Linked DNA regions of Daphnia pulex. The protein of the gene in region 2 interacts with the protein of the main gene of each other region in a pairwise test. Links are inferred from orthologs where the notes say so. Each region holds a gene or a part of one and is shown on either strand. Other genes may lie near its edges.

What was found.
Region 1: the proteins of exocyst complex component 7-like (region 2) and pre-mRNA-processing factor 19-like interact in a two-hybrid assay, tested with the Homo sapiens proteins (2 studies listed by BioGRID and IntAct, with this or other methods). The link is inferred for Daphnia pulex from reciprocal best matches to the Homo sapiens genes EXOC7 and PRPF19.

What each region holds. Positions count from the first base shown.
Region 1 is NC_060022.1:3,390,933-3,398,225, reverse strand, and holds pre-mRNA-processing factor 19-like, read right to left. Parts: upstream 2,777-7,293; 5' UTR 2,664-2,776; coding exon 2,645-2,663; intron 2,550-2,644; coding exon 2,400-2,549; intron 2,338-2,399; coding exon 2,196-2,337; intron 2,136-2,195; coding exon 1,994-2,135; intron 1,930-1,993; coding exon 1,744-1,929; intron 1,688-1,743; coding exon 1,502-1,687; intron 1,423-1,501; coding exon 1,086-1,422; intron 1,019-1,085; coding exon 669-1,018; 3' UTR 531-668; downstream 1-530. Other genes in the region: heterogeneous nuclear ribonucleoprotein 27C-like, read left to right, coding at 3,084-3,142, 3,275-3,482, 3,686-3,887, 4,463-4,545, 4,927-5,034, 5,142-5,331, 5,489-5,724, 5,799-5,868 and 1 more; uncharacterized protein LOC124195731, read left to right, coding at 6,719-6,876, 6,931-7,293. UniProt on the Homo sapiens protein: Ubiquitin-protein ligase which is a core component of several complexes mainly involved pre-mRNA splicing and DNA repair. Required for pre-mRNA splicing as component of the spliceosome.
Region 2 is NC_060020.1:3,977,939-3,985,391, forward strand, and holds exocyst complex component 7-like, read right to left. Parts: upstream 5,088-7,453; 5' UTR 4,986-5,087; coding exon 4,956-4,985; intron 4,820-4,955; exon of another isoform or gene 4,797-4,819; intron 4,741-4,796; coding exon 4,575-4,740; intron 4,479-4,574; coding exon 4,285-4,478; intron 4,221-4,284; coding exon 4,103-4,220; intron 4,042-4,102; coding exon 3,944-4,041; intron 3,875-3,943; coding exon 3,734-3,874; intron 3,669-3,733; coding exon 3,506-3,668; intron 3,443-3,505; coding exon 3,255-3,442; intron 3,193-3,254; coding exon 3,013-3,192; intron 2,948-3,012; coding exon 2,704-2,947; intron 2,633-2,703; coding exon 2,487-2,632; intron 2,431-2,486; coding exon 2,360-2,430; intron 2,282-2,359; coding exon 2,170-2,281; intron 2,096-2,169; coding exon 1,859-2,095; 3' UTR 1,773-1,858; downstream 1-1,772. Other genes in the region: uncharacterized protein LOC124192964, read left to right, coding at 1-1,255, 1,324-1,371; palmitoyl-protein thioesterase 1-like, read left to right, coding at 5,824-5,920, 5,986-6,095, 6,154-6,281, 6,351-6,509, 6,572-6,677, 6,745-6,841, 6,922-6,995, 7,055-7,180. UniProt on the Homo sapiens protein: Component of the exocyst complex involved in the docking of exocytic vesicles with fusion sites on the plasma membrane.

The DNA.
Region 1 (7,293 bases), on a different chromosome or scaffold from region 2:
TCTGATTAATGTGTAAGCTAATTAAAGTAGTTGTGTCAACTCTTTAGGGAGAAAAAAAAATGCGTCAAATTAAAGAAGACAAATTTTTTGAAGGGCAGAAAATTTTATTCATTCAACAAAACCACGCTTCCAATTACAAAAGATGCAACAATGCAACTTGATAGAAGCGACGGTTGAAGGAACTGTTTTTGGGCGACTTACCTCGTACTTTATCTGGAAAAATCTTGATTCAGGATAGCAATCCAATATGAAGAATTTGAACTATGAAATTTGAAATTAACGTAGTATGATCTCACTATTCCTTGTTTACAAGAGTCGACCGGCATTTTAGGCCAAATACATAAACCCCTGTACGAAGGAGCGGCCGATGCATCGATTGCCTAAGCCGCCATTGGGATATGCTTCAAGAAAGCGAAAATGCCAAGCGAACTGCCACGCCACTAGTGACAAAATTTCGAAGCTTTTTGTTTTATTTAATGTATCGATAGTAACGCGGGAAACTTAACTATCGATATACACTCGTAGAATTGTTTTTGATGGGAAAAATGAAACGCGTGTATTTTTGTGAGGGCGAGAGTTCGATGCGGTTTGCACACCTTACAGCAAAAAAAAGGATAAGACGAAAAATGTTCATTTAAAAATCCCCTCTCAACATTGAATACAGTGAATCACTCGATGCCATAAATTTTCAGCGTACGATCCATACTCACAGACGCTATCGACTGCGCATGGTTGCCGAAACGGACTCCCATAGCCAATGCTGTATGGTCGTTAAAAGTCTTAAGAGTTTCCCATTGCTTGCAGAGATAAACACGCACGTCGGTACCAGCCACAGCAAGGTAGGTGCCGCTTTGATCGAAGCACAAGTCCTTAACTTCGTATCCTTCGTCGAGCTGAATTGTTTTAAAATTCTTCAATTTCCGTAAATCCCACAATTTGACGCAAGAGTCTTCTGCCGCTGTAGCCAAATAGTAACCATTTTCTGAAAATGACAAAGCCGCAATAGGACCGGAATGACCTGTAATTGTAAAAATGGTAATAGTAAAGCTAATGTTTATCACAAGATTATTTTAAAAGAGCCAAACCTGGAAAGTTGGCCACGTTAGATTGTTCTTTTAAATCCCAAATTTTGATCTGTGAATCTTGTGTTCCAGTGCCGAAAATGAGACCATCTGGATGGAACTGGGCTGTCGTAAGCGGATTTCCGTCTGTGTCGGCAACCTTTGTCAACAACCGCCCAACGCGAATGTCTGAAAATGCCCAGTGTTGATCCAGTGACGTCGACAAAACATATTCTCCGGTTGCGTGGAGCGACAAGCCTGTGACAGGGCCATCATGAGCACGGATGATGGCAGATTGTGAGGAGCCGGTTATATTCCAAACACGAATCGTCGCATCAGGAGATGCTGTTATCGCGACTTCCTATAACAGATTCAAGGGGTATATTAGTATCATATAACAAAGTAAATCAAGAGAAAATTAAAAGAAAACATGAAATTACCTCTTCTGGATGATAAAGCACCTTGGTAACTTTTTTTGTATGTCCCTTGAGAACAGCAACAACCTGCTCAGTGTCCTTGTTAAAAACTGTAGCGCATCGATCGTTACCTCCAGTCAAAATATGAGAAGTATCGGCGGCGTGAACGTCCATGGTCAAAATTCCGGGCATACTTGCACTGTGCAAAGCCTATATGTAATCAATCCATGAAGATGGGATAACATTTCAAAATTATATGTCATTACCGGATGAGATGCCAAAGTTTTATATCCCTTCAAAGCTTCTGCTGTAGCTAAGCCTTCGGGCATGGTTTTGCCTCTACGTTTTCGTTCTTGAGTAAGAACAGTGGCTTTATCTTGTAATTGTGATATGATTTCCGGAGTTAATCCAGCTGCCTCGATCGGTTGTGCTGCCACACCACCCGCTTCAGCCTTACATCAAATCAGTAAATTTATCATAAATAACATACAAATAAATATCATAATGCTTTCTTACTGAGGCAGCAACAGATGGTGTAGATACAGCAGCATAGCCAGTCTGGGGCTTAAGAGTTGCAAGTGCTTCCCGTGCTGTAGACACTTCCTTGTGGAGGCGTGCAATAACACGACAAGCAGCATCATGTTGGTAGAGAGCATGACTACAAATAGAAAGAGAATGTTTGCACAATAATTCCATGTGTAATTAAGTTGGTCAATACCTCAATTCTTGTCGAGCAGTTTGTAATTGTTGCCTCAAAGTAAAGGAATTTAACATGACAGCATCCCATTCATCTTGTAAAGACTTAAGCACGGCGGGAATGCTTGTTGCAGATGGCACTTTAGGCTTAACAATTGGGGGGGCTAGAAACAAAATTTCAATTACATGTAAATTCATTGTGGAACTTTGATAAAAAATTTCTTACTTTTGATTTCAATAAGTTGATCTACAGTTATTTCTTTCCCATTGATGGGATCTACCCCGTTATCAGCAATGTACTTTTCAATCAGCCGACGTTCAAACACAGATCCTGACACCGGTGAGACCACAGGATGTTCGGGAACTTCGTTCGACACTATATAAGCAAGAGATATAAGACATTAAATATCAAATTTCTCAGAAGAATGGATTGGTTTTAAATTGATATTTATAATGAAAATGTAATATTACGAGAACAACAGAGGGCCATGATGAAGCGTGTAACCTTTTTTTATATACTTTTCACAAAAATGTGCGACAAGCCAAGATGCATATGTTCGCTTCGCTTAGGGCTAAACAGTTGCTAGACTACACTATTCAATAAAGCGCTTCATTCCTCAGTGCGAGTTTTCTTTTCTTTTCAAAATCCAATCATTTTTTTAAGACTCAGAAATTTTTTTATTGGAATGTGTAAAAGAAACAGCATAGTTTTTTATAAGTAATAATTTCATAATTTAAGTTTCAAGTTTTCAACTAGAAAAAGTGTCCAGGCAACGGTGCAAACTGACTGAAATGCCGGGCCAGCCATTTCCCCCATTTCTCAACTGAAGAAGCCAACCCAAGCGCAGTGCGAACACTCCTCGAAAATTTGAAAGATTCGTTTACTGTTATATTCAATTTAAACTGAACAATGGCCTCTCAACAAAAATTCCCTGGAAAAGAAGGTGGTGATAATTCGAATGAACAAGGGTAAGAAATTTTTTCCATTTATAATATGACATGTGAAGTTCATGGGAGAATGTAAATCCATGACGCCGTACACTAAGCTTTTCATGATTTGCGTCCATTTACTATTTTTTGGTACGAATCTTGTTTTTTTAGTAAAATGTTCATCGGAGGTTTAAGCTGGGAAACGACGCGCGATAATTTGCTTCGATATTTCAGTCAGTATGGTGAAGTTGTTGACTGTGTGGTAATGAAGAACCCAGAAACTGGTAGATCGAGAGGGTTTGGGTTCATTACATTTGCTGATCCTAACAATGTTGGTTTAGTACTACAAAACACACCCCATATACTCGATAATCGCACAGTAAGTTTTTATATTTTCTTCATACTCTTATTTGCACTACCTGAGCGGTGATAGAATGTTTAACATAATTTTATCTCCTTTCGCGGTATTGCTACATAGAAGTGGAAGGAATTGAAGTTTATATCTCAACTTGAGATATATATTTGATTTCTTTCTACATTTTTGGTTGTTTTTTATGATCTCATATTTTTATGTTTATGCAGATTGACCCCAAACCTTGTAATCCACGTGCCGAAATGGTACGCGCTCCTCGCCGGAGTATGGGTACAGGAAATGGTTACAAAGTATTTTTAGGTGGGCTTCCATCAAACTTGACAGAAACAGATCTTCGTAACTTCTTCTCGCAGTACGGAAAGGTCTCTGAAGTCGTTATCATGTACGACCAAGAAAAGAAAAAATCTCGAGGTGAGTCACTTTCCTCAATTAGTGGGTATTAAAGTTAATTAAAACAGCGTAAATAAACTATGAACGTCCTTACATAACGTATGACGCAAGTGTAAGTGGTTATATTCCGAAGATTCGATGGATTCCTTTTTTGATAACTTTGCTAACTTTAATAGTGTGGTTATTTTATTCCTATAGGTAAGCAAATGGCTAAGTTCCTATCCACGTTTACTTCTACTGCTCATGTGAAAGAGTTTCCGCGAATTACAGTAGATAATATGCCATTAAGGAACTTGGGAGGGTGGATTTACAAGTTTTACATCTGACTAAATATTGGCATACCCATTGGGTTGAGTCAATATTTCTTTCATAATCACAACTCTAGTTTTTAACGATGTATTAGATTTATTTCTCTTCAAGTATTAGAATCCGGTATCAATCTCATCAGATCTACAGTCAAAAGTTATGGTTGAAAAATAATTTAGTCAGGCCTGTCCCAAGATTTCTTCTAATGATTATTAATGAGATCAAAGAAAGATGTAAAGAAAAGTGGTATAAAAAAAGTGTAATAAGCAATTTGGAAAACCTTGGGACAGGCTTTGGCTTTTTGACCTTTGAATCGGAGGAGTCGGTGGATCGCTGCACTGGTGAACACTATGTTTCAATCAATGGAAAGCAGGTATTCTATCATCAAAACAACAACCAATGTCCCTCTCCCTTACTCTTTGTGAAAAACGCAATCGGAAGTATGAATAATCAGGGCTCACCATTGTTTAAACCTCGCCGACACTTGATCTTATATATTTTTAAAGTTTATTTAGAAAATGTATCTAACCGTCGAGTTAAGCTGGTCTTTGTACCAATCTATTGGTCTTCTAAATAGTAATTGTAATTAACTCATAGAAAACAATAGATAATCTTATCAATAATGTAACAAGTTAAGGTCGGTGGTGAGCTCTCTTTATTGTTTTAAAAAAATATGAATGCATAATAATTCGTTCTAATGTTAGAATTAACATTAGTCATCAAACAAGGAATAAAGATTTCTTTTGGACCATAGGTTGAAATCAAGAAAGCAGAGCCCCGTGATACTCGAGGATCATCTGGTGGAATGAGACGTGGAGGACACAATGGTGGATGGGAAGGTCCGGGAATGGGAATGCATGGGGTAAGTCACTAAGCTTTCTTGCTCAAACTTAAGTTACAAACAGATTTTAAATAATCGATTTGTGTTTTTCTTTTTTCTTTTTTTTTTTTTGCGTTTTTGCCATTTAGGGTATGGGTCCTATGGGTGGCCCAATGGGTGGACCGATGGGCCCTCCCATGGGTGGTGGTTATCAAGGATGGGGTGGACCTGCCAATCAAGGTGGATATGGATATGGACCCCAAGGTGGATATCAAGGATGGGGCCCACAAGGGCAGTGGGGAGGATATGGAGGAGGACCAGGAGCTAATTATGGCTATGGTAATAAAGTGTATGCTGATAAAGTGATTGTTTCTTCTCCAGGATATATTTCGAAGATAAATTGGCTGAGATTTTCTAAATAGAAGTTTTTCCATGAATCACATTGTCTTTGATACCGCGTAGATGAATGAAAATAAGAACGTGTTAAACTATATAGGCCCTCAAGGTGGACCTCAACAAGGTGGATACAACAACTGGAATTGGGGAGGACCGGGCCCACAAGGAGGTGGACCTGGTGGCCCAGGTCCCAACGGCGATATGTATGGTAGAGGTCCTAACCCAACTAATGGTGGTCCTCCGGGCGCAGCTGCCCCTACTGGACCTGGAGTTCCTGGAGTAAAAGCTGAACCTGCTCAGTACGGTGCTGGATACGGAACTAATGGCTATGGAACAGTAAGTTAATTGTGCGAGTCAAATGTTACATTTTTTTAGGAATTCAATCGTTTTTTTTTTTATTATTATCCAAGGACGTTAACCAAGGATACAGAGGAGGATACGCCCAAGAAGCTAACGCTCAAGGATATGGAGGTGGACAAGGTGATTGTTAATTTAGTTTTTACAAAAAAGGATCTTTATGATAATTATGGTTATTTTTTTAGGCTATGGAAATCCAGAAAGAGTCCCACCACCTGGCGTTGCACCTGCCGGTAATGGTCTTGGTGTTCCTGGAGCAGGAGCCGGAGCTGCTGGCCCTGGAGGACCGGGTCCTCAACGAGGAGGTGGTCACCACCACCAGCCGTCGCAATCTCAATACCACCCATATCGCCGAGGAGGCGTTTGAGAAAATCATCAGTGTTTTTTTTTTGTGTGTTTTAAGTTGCACATTGCTTAGCCCTATGGCTGGACAAACATTTAAATGATGGCCAATCTGTCGTGCATTCGGTGTGTTCTTGTCTGTATCGTTTCGACGTTTCTCTTTGAATCCCGCCCTAACATTACGTTCTGAACCTGAGCTATTCATGACTTTTCGATGCGTTCGAATAAAACTGTAGTTAATTAGTTCTTAAATCCTTGTGTGCAAGTTTCTTTAAAAAAATCCGAGATAGTATGCACTTTCAAACTTCCGATTACACGTTGATTGAATTGCAATTTTGCTGGTACTGATCTATACTAATAACAATCACGATTTACACTTTGATATTTAATAAACTACTGATCACTTATCTTTGAAAAAAAAAACCTGTCTCTAAACTTTTTCAACAGAGGGCTGGGTAACCCTATGACTTCTCTTGTGTTTTGGGTAATGTCGTCTGCAACAATGTACAGTACACAACACAACTACACATTGTTCTGCAAGTCAGTTAAGAGATCTACTAAAATTTTAAATAATTCACCATTTCTTTAGTTTAAATTAAGCACTCGTTAAGCTTCTACGATAAAAAATTAGATGACTTCGTTAAATTTGTTGGTGGGTTATGGATCGGATAGCTCGGAAAGTTCTGGAACGGAAACAAAAGAATCAACACAAACAGAACTTGCTGAAGATCCTGTGAAATCAAAAATCAAAAATAATTTTTTTCAGGTTTTTGATGATAGTAGTAGTGGGTATGACAAATTTCTCTATGAATTTTTTAAATTTCTAAATATTTCATTTTTTAGTGAAGAAAACGATCAAGCAGATAACTTTTCGTTGCAAGATGAACATTTAAAGAACTTGAAAAACCCTTTTCGCAGTTCAGAGACTTCAGTGTCAGGAAAATCTGTGTTTGCAAATCCATACAAAGAAGCAGAGGAAGCAGAAAAGGGCACACTTGAAAAGCATGTAAAATTCACCCCCAAACTTGAAGACATCAAAGAAATCAATGGGAGAAAAATTTGCTGGAACTATAGGAAAGGGAGGTGCAGATTTGGGTCAAACTGTGTCTTTGCTCATGACTCTGAGCTCTTGCAGAAGAAACAAAATCAAGAAATAAATCAGCAAAGTGTAAGCAGTTCTGATTATGATCAGGACTCTGTCATTAC
Region 2 (7,453 bases):
AAAAGCTAATTGGTACGGAATGGCAGCCGTGGATTCAACTTATATGAAGCAAATGTTAGAAAACAACCTGCGATCCGCTATTGACATTGGGACAAAGTATAAAGATCAGTCAGCTATACTTCCGTCTCGCGTAGAATTTTCTCCCTCATCGGGGAAATCATCGATGCCGACTTTTACGATCCATCTAGCTACTCCAGAAGCATTCCGATCTCCAACATTGGCAAACCAAATGCAAGCTAGTAATCAAAATTCAGTCGAACGTTCATCAGCCGACCGGACTCCAGTTAACACTGTTACGCAAGGCGATCATTCGCCCATCGGTGCGCTGAATACAATGATCACCAATCAAAATCGTCAGGTTAATCAGCAGACGCCTGGTCCTACACAACACAGCCCAAACACTGTTGCGATGGAGGGACATCCCGGTATGCCACGTCAAGGATGGACTGGCAACTCCGTGAATAACGGAATGGTTGCATATCAGTCAACTGTAGTGCAAAATACTGCTGTTGTTGTACCTATAATTAACGCACAGTACACAGGTAGACATCGCATGCCTGCGGTTCAGCAAACAGTTCCACCACCACATTCTACTTGGCCACAACAAACTGCACAGCAAACTGCACACCAAGCATACGTTCAAAACCTGCAGTCTAATCGGATGCAAGCACCCGTCAATTACCAAGCTGGGCCTTATCGACAGCAGCAACAGGCGACACTACAACACCAGTACATGCACCCTAATGGTTCGCAACAGTCATTGGGCTCATCTCAGCAACTTCACAATCGTTTGGCTGGTCCTATTGCAGGAGACAGTCCCTCGCGCCAGCAAAATATGTCCATTCTTGGATCGCACCTACAACAAGCACAAGCACCCGTTCAGCAGCAGCGAATAAGACAACAATCTTCCTCGCAACAGCTGACAAATCAGCCGACAGTATCACATCACTTGAGCGGAATGCAACAACAGCAAGTTCCACATTCACAAGCCCATTCCTTGCAAAACGCACAACACCAAATCATGCAGCAGCAACGCCATATGCCCATGTCTTCGCCGCCAATTAATGCTCAAGCGCAAAGACATTTTCCTGGCCAGCAGTCGGACATTGCTAGACAGCCTGCCATTCGTCGACTCTCACGAGATGTTCCGCAGCCACAGCAACACCCGCTTTACACTTGCCTGAAGTGTGGACAAGAAGCTCAGCAAAAGTGCAGCGGGTGTCAAACCACATTCTACTGTTCCCGTGACTGTCAGGTAATATCGCAATTCAGTTATTGTATACTTGTTTTGTAACGTTTTGTTTTTTTAAATAACGATTGTAGGTTGCGCATTGGGATGAACATGGTAAAACGTGCTCAAAACAGGCTTGACGAGAACGCGAAGGCTTACCAACCAAGACCCTAAATAGTATCCTAGTCCTCGGGTGTGAAGGAGTGACAAAATTGAATTTTCTGATGACAAGTGTTGCGTCCTATCTGTTTTCTAGAATTTGTTTGATGCGTTTAAACGTCCTTCGAGTGGCTCAGTTTAATCTAGCGGTGCTACGTTTCTAAGACAACAGCTGTCATCAGTATTATGCACAAAACAAGGTAGAGCCGTTTTATTTTTCTCATGTGTCTCCTGTTCTACACGTCAAAGTTGAACGTTTAGCAGGTTTTGTTTATTTGTGAAATGGAATGGAATGTGCCTGTACAAGTGTGTACATGCTGTTTAGTCATCGCTGAAGGATATAATTTCCTCTTTGTTTTAATAGAATTCAGACTTGTCGCTATTGTAATTTCATTTTTTAATAAATTTAAATTTGGTGTTGAAAATACAATCAGGATGATTTTTTGTTAACCTTGATCGTTTTGATCATCATGCAGCAACGTCGAAAAATGTATCGATTACCGATGAAATTTGGGCCGGTGAGTACTTGATGTATTTTTCACTGTGTTTGCTGAACTGCGCGTTGCTGTACTTGTCATAGAAAGCCTGATACTTCGGCAGGATGTACTCTTTGTTATCACGCTTCAGACTCTCGCGAAGCTCAACGTCTGGCACTGAATAACCTCGTTGCTCTCTGGACAATTCTTCAAACTCCTTGTTAAGGGTCTAAAAGATTTATCGGATCAAAAAACAACATTTTAACACATGTAAAGCTTATATTTTAACTTTTGAAGACCTACCGAGAACTTTTCTTTAATTAAAGCTTTATCCTTTTCCCGTAACCTGCCGGAAAGAAGTACAGATGCTGGAACATCTTCCGAATTCCATATTGGGGCTAAGACCTTGTTCCAACTGTAGGTTATTTAATTAATTGAATAGTAACGGTGAGTTCAACAAAAAATTCAAAGGAAAGGAACAAAGTATCAATACCTTTGAGAATAAAGCCTCTTCTGTTCGTTGATCATTTCTCGGTAAATCGGCTCGCATTCTGGTTCCACAACCTAAAAACACCAAAATATGTGATTACATTTACTTTGACTACAATTTTGTGCTTTACCTTCAACAGGTCTAGTAGGCCACTACGCTGTAGTGCGCTTAACAAATAGTGGCTGTTATTTAATCGAAAAATATAGCGCAAAGAAGAATCGCTGTACGCATCGCTTTTAGTAACTAAAGTTAAATTTAGTTGAACCAACACTTTTTCTAAAAAAAAAAGGGTAATTTGTTAATCAAACCAGATTTTAAGTTAAACCTGAACAAGAAAAATGAATTACTGATATAAAGTCCTAGTAAAGCTTTGTTTCTCTGAGGTTTCGGCCAGGGTTGAGTGTGTACCAATGCGTTGGAATAACTTTGATCTTGGGCGAGAAGCGGACCGACTGTGTCAGACAAATCAGTCAACTGGCCGAGAAAAAGAACGACATTGCTCGTCATTTCATAGACCGTGCCATCTCTAGGCAATGGAGCTGCAGATTCAGAACGCACAGATTCTGCAAAGTCTTCAAGGGCCTTGCCGCACTAATCAATCACAAAATAACACAGTGATAAAAACGAATCTAAATTATGGTGAGTTATTAGCTTACGGTTGTATGGAGATTATTAACCATTGCGTAAAATCGTGTGCGAACAGAAGAATCGCATCCTTCCAGCAATTTATCACAGTCGCCTTTAAAACACACTAAATGGCGTAAGGCAGGAAAAAGAAGCAAAACGGGACCGAACTCTTGACGAGAAACACTTCGGCGCGCTCGGCCGCTTAAGCTCTAAAAATTAGTAAAGTACAAGAATGACTAACCGATGAAATTGAATCAAGAATATTTCCAACCTCGGCATCGTGACAGATCATTTCCAATGCGTCTCTGAGAATGATAGACAGAACAGCTTTTTGATGCGGCAAAGGGACAATACCCAACATAAGTCTCAGTTCACTCTGCAGTAGTCGCAAAAGTGCCGTGAATTCGGTTAAGAACGATTCGATTTCGTGTTCTTCGACAGCATCTTCTTTTATACTGTCTGAAGAAGAAACAATAATGATAATTGGGAAAAAGTAAAATAAATTTAATTTCGTCTTCTCACCCGCAGCGCTTCTCCTGGGGCCCAAAGCCAGTCCTGTAGAGCTTTCCAACGTTTGAGAAGCTTTCAAAAGCATTTGGTTGGCCTTGCGCTCAAGCATTTGCTGTAGTTTCTTAGATGTCTTTCTACTTGGAGTGTCATAACTGGCTTTGACACCTGATTTTGCCTGAAAATTATAAAAGAAGTTCATTATATATTGCCTAATAGTAGTCACAATAAATATTAGATTACCAGCAATGTAGCCGTTCCCGACATGGCAGCTACGGGACTCACGCCTTGGTGACTCGATACCCCAGTAGATGAACTTCTCAAATGATCACGAAGGCCAAGAAGGGTTTTCTGCACAGTATTTGCGCGAAACCGAGCGTAAACCTGGAAAGTAAATCAGTGACAAAGTTTATTTAATATGTCGTGGATTAATGATTGATGATTACAAGTTACATTCATGAAGTCATCTTCATTGTGAGTTACAAGCCAATCAGCTATTTGCATCAAATTGTCTTTCACATCTGCAGAGAAGTGATTTATACTTATCTCCTCTGGAATGAAAATGGAACATTACATTGAATTTTCAGGTAGTTATAGATAAATGGGGTTCACCTTCATCATTTGCTAGAGCTTCCAAAAGTGCTGTAGCAGGAATGGTTTGACTATGTTTTGCTAGGTGTTCTTTAAATTCGCTGATAATATTATCTTTGCCAGTTTCAAATAGGCTCATCTAATACAAAAGTTGTTTTTTAAGTTTGTAAGGTATGGTGATTGTAAATAAAAATGAAACTTACAACATTTTCTAACTCCACACTCTGTGGATTATTTCTCTCAAAGAAATGCATAGCTTCTTGCAATCGACCGAGGGATTGGAGAAAAATTTCTAGACCCTGACTTGAAGGGCTCTCTTTTATGACAGGCTCAACTTCCTTGCTGACACTGTAATAGCTAATGACATGATCCAAAGAGGCTAATGTTTTATCAATGTCTATAAACACGAAGAAAGTTAAAAAGAAATTTAGATTTTGTAAATTTAGAAATACAAGAAATATTGATATTATATGAGATCTCATTAATAATTTACTTTCTTGTTTCTGTTGCAAATTTTTTGTCTCATTGTAGACTGGTAAAATGGTCTTTTCAAGTCTCGCAAGCCTTTCATCAAATGAAGTCAAAATATTGACCATTCCATTAGTAAGCTGAGAACTTCTAGAAGCAGCATCTTGAAGAAAGACTAGTCCTGTCAGCACCTTTACCAATCATTAATTAAACCCATTATTTGTTTGATACAATATGTCAATATAACCAGTCATATATGTGAGTATCCAGTCACAGCAAAGAAATTTGAATTTTGTAACAAGAAATTGAGTTTAATATTCAAACCTTTAAAATTAGTATTTAAAACAAATAAAATCAAATGATATAAAGAAGAACTAAGTAGGCCTATATAAAACAAAAAAGTAACCTTTTCATGTTTATGATTAAAATCTGACATTTTGCTGAATTTCTGTCAGTTGTTTCGTTTCTCGCCATCTACCGGCTAGAAAAAAACGGTCTTTTATTTCGGTAGGGTAGACGGTAGGTAAATAGGTAATTAACAAAAAAAAGTAAATTCCTCGATTGGTGCGTCAAGTTGAAGTTGGACAAAGAAAAAAATCTAAAAAAGACGTCGCCGTCTATTATGGAAGAAAATATTCAACGTTGAGTCCATTATAATCGCAAGCACATGGGAGCAATCCGAGCCCCACTAAAATGTGGCTAATGACGAAATACGGCTCATAAAGAAAAAAAGCGCTCAGATATACCAGTTTGTTTTGGTAAAAGGTAATCTGAGGTAAAATGGAAATCTGATTTTACTAAGTTCTAAATGGGTTCTTGTTTTCACGGAAGTTGTGTCGTAGAAAAATGGGAAAACTCCAAAACGGTGGTGACTCGTGAACTATTTTGCCGTCACCCTTTCGATGACCCGCAGTTCTACGTTTTTTTGAAGCGACTTTAAATTATTTTAATAACCTTTTTACGATTTTGTTGTTTTTCCTGCAACATTCTTTTTTTTTAAGATCGCTTGAATAGCCCTCTATTGAGATCGATTATGAACCAACCTGGCCACCTGTTGAAAATAGTCAACACTAACCTTGAAAAAAGAATAAATTTTGAAGCCAGCCCAGCACCAAGAAATGTCAAATACACAAATGTCAATGTCAAATGTCAACGTGAGAAACTCGTGCATGGTTGTAATTCAATTACGTAACTGCTTTGTCTAAATTCCAAGCCAACTTATTAGCTTGACCCCGTAAGTGTATGAGTAGTCCTCCTTGGGTAAAGAATCAAGAATGAAGTACACACTTCCCTTAATGTGTGTTTTCCTCTTATTAATAAATTGTCAAATGGTTTTATCAATACTACCAATTGTGATCTGGCACGGATTAGGTAATCACATTTAAGGTTTCTACTTCATTCACAATTTCATGATAAATTTTGAAATGGGTATGTAGGTGATGTTTGCTGCAATCCATTGAGTATTGGGGGCCTACAAAAATTTATACAACAACAAATTCCTGAGGTCTATGTAATTTCGCTGAAGATTGGCAAGACCATTCGTGAGGTATTAATTCAGTATAGCTCAATTAAAAATTTACACCAACAATTCCAATATTATGTAGGATTTTGAAAATGCATACATCAAGAATGCAAACGATCAAGTTGAATTTGTGTGTGATCTGATCAAAAATGACCCTAAATTAGCATTAGGATATCATGGATTAGGGGTATCTCAAGGGGGGCAGTTCTTGTAATTATATCTTTATTGTTGAATAGTTAAGATTATCTTTGAATCATTTTAATTTTCTGCTTATTATAGGAGAGCTGTAGCTCAACGTTGCCCTGATCCTCCGATGGTAAATCTAGTCACTTTAGGCTCTCAACACCAAGGTGTATATGGGTTACCCCGTTGTCTAGGAGATGATGTCAAATTTTGTGACTATGTTCGCTCGCTACTTAATCATGGAGCTTACAAAAAGTTTGTCTACTTGAGACCTATACATTTACAAAAATAATTTTAACAGAACTAATTTTATCAAGATGGATTCAAAATTTTGTTACTCCTGCTGAATATTGGCATGATCCACTAGATGAAAAGGCATACAAAAAAGCAAGTGTATTTCTTGCGGATATCAATAACGAAAGGGTATGAGAATTTTTCATTGGTCCTATTTTTAACTGAAATCGAAACTATCTGCTATTTCTTTTAATAGTCTGTAAATGATACATACAAAAATAACCTTAAGCAACTGAAAAACTTCGTCATGGTTAAGTTTACTAAAGATACAGTTGTCCAACCAATTGAAACAGGTACGCGCCGCTTTAAAGCTCAATTGAATCGCGACATTTTTAACAGTGTGTTACTCTTCACCTTTAATATATCCGTGCAGAATGGTTCGGTTTTTATAAGGAGAATGATTTGAACTCAACTTACACTCTTCAAGATTCGCAACTTTACCTTGAAGTACATCGTGTCTTACATTACAATTTTCTATTAATTACATTTAAAAAAAAATCTCTTAGGATCGCCTTGGTTTACGTGCAATGGATGATGAAGGAAAACTCCATTTCCTACAAGTGGAAGGTGACCATATTCAATTTAGCCAAGCATGGTTTAAAAACGAAATCATTGATAATTTCTTGCGATAAATGATTGAAATTGTTAAAAATGTGTGATAATTTTTTCTTATAACCGTTTCCGTCTGATACGTCATGTTATACATAAACTACAATAATCGTTCATCCCGATATCGGCGGCTGAACGATTCTAAAACTATTGGTAGATCAATACAACATCCTCGTCAAAAAGTGGTAGCGTTTGCCAGCTAGTTAATACGTGCGCCCCGGTGCGAGAAACTTCTTATTTATAAAAAGTTATTATAATAGTCACAAGTCCCGGCGAACAAAAGACGGTCTCCAATT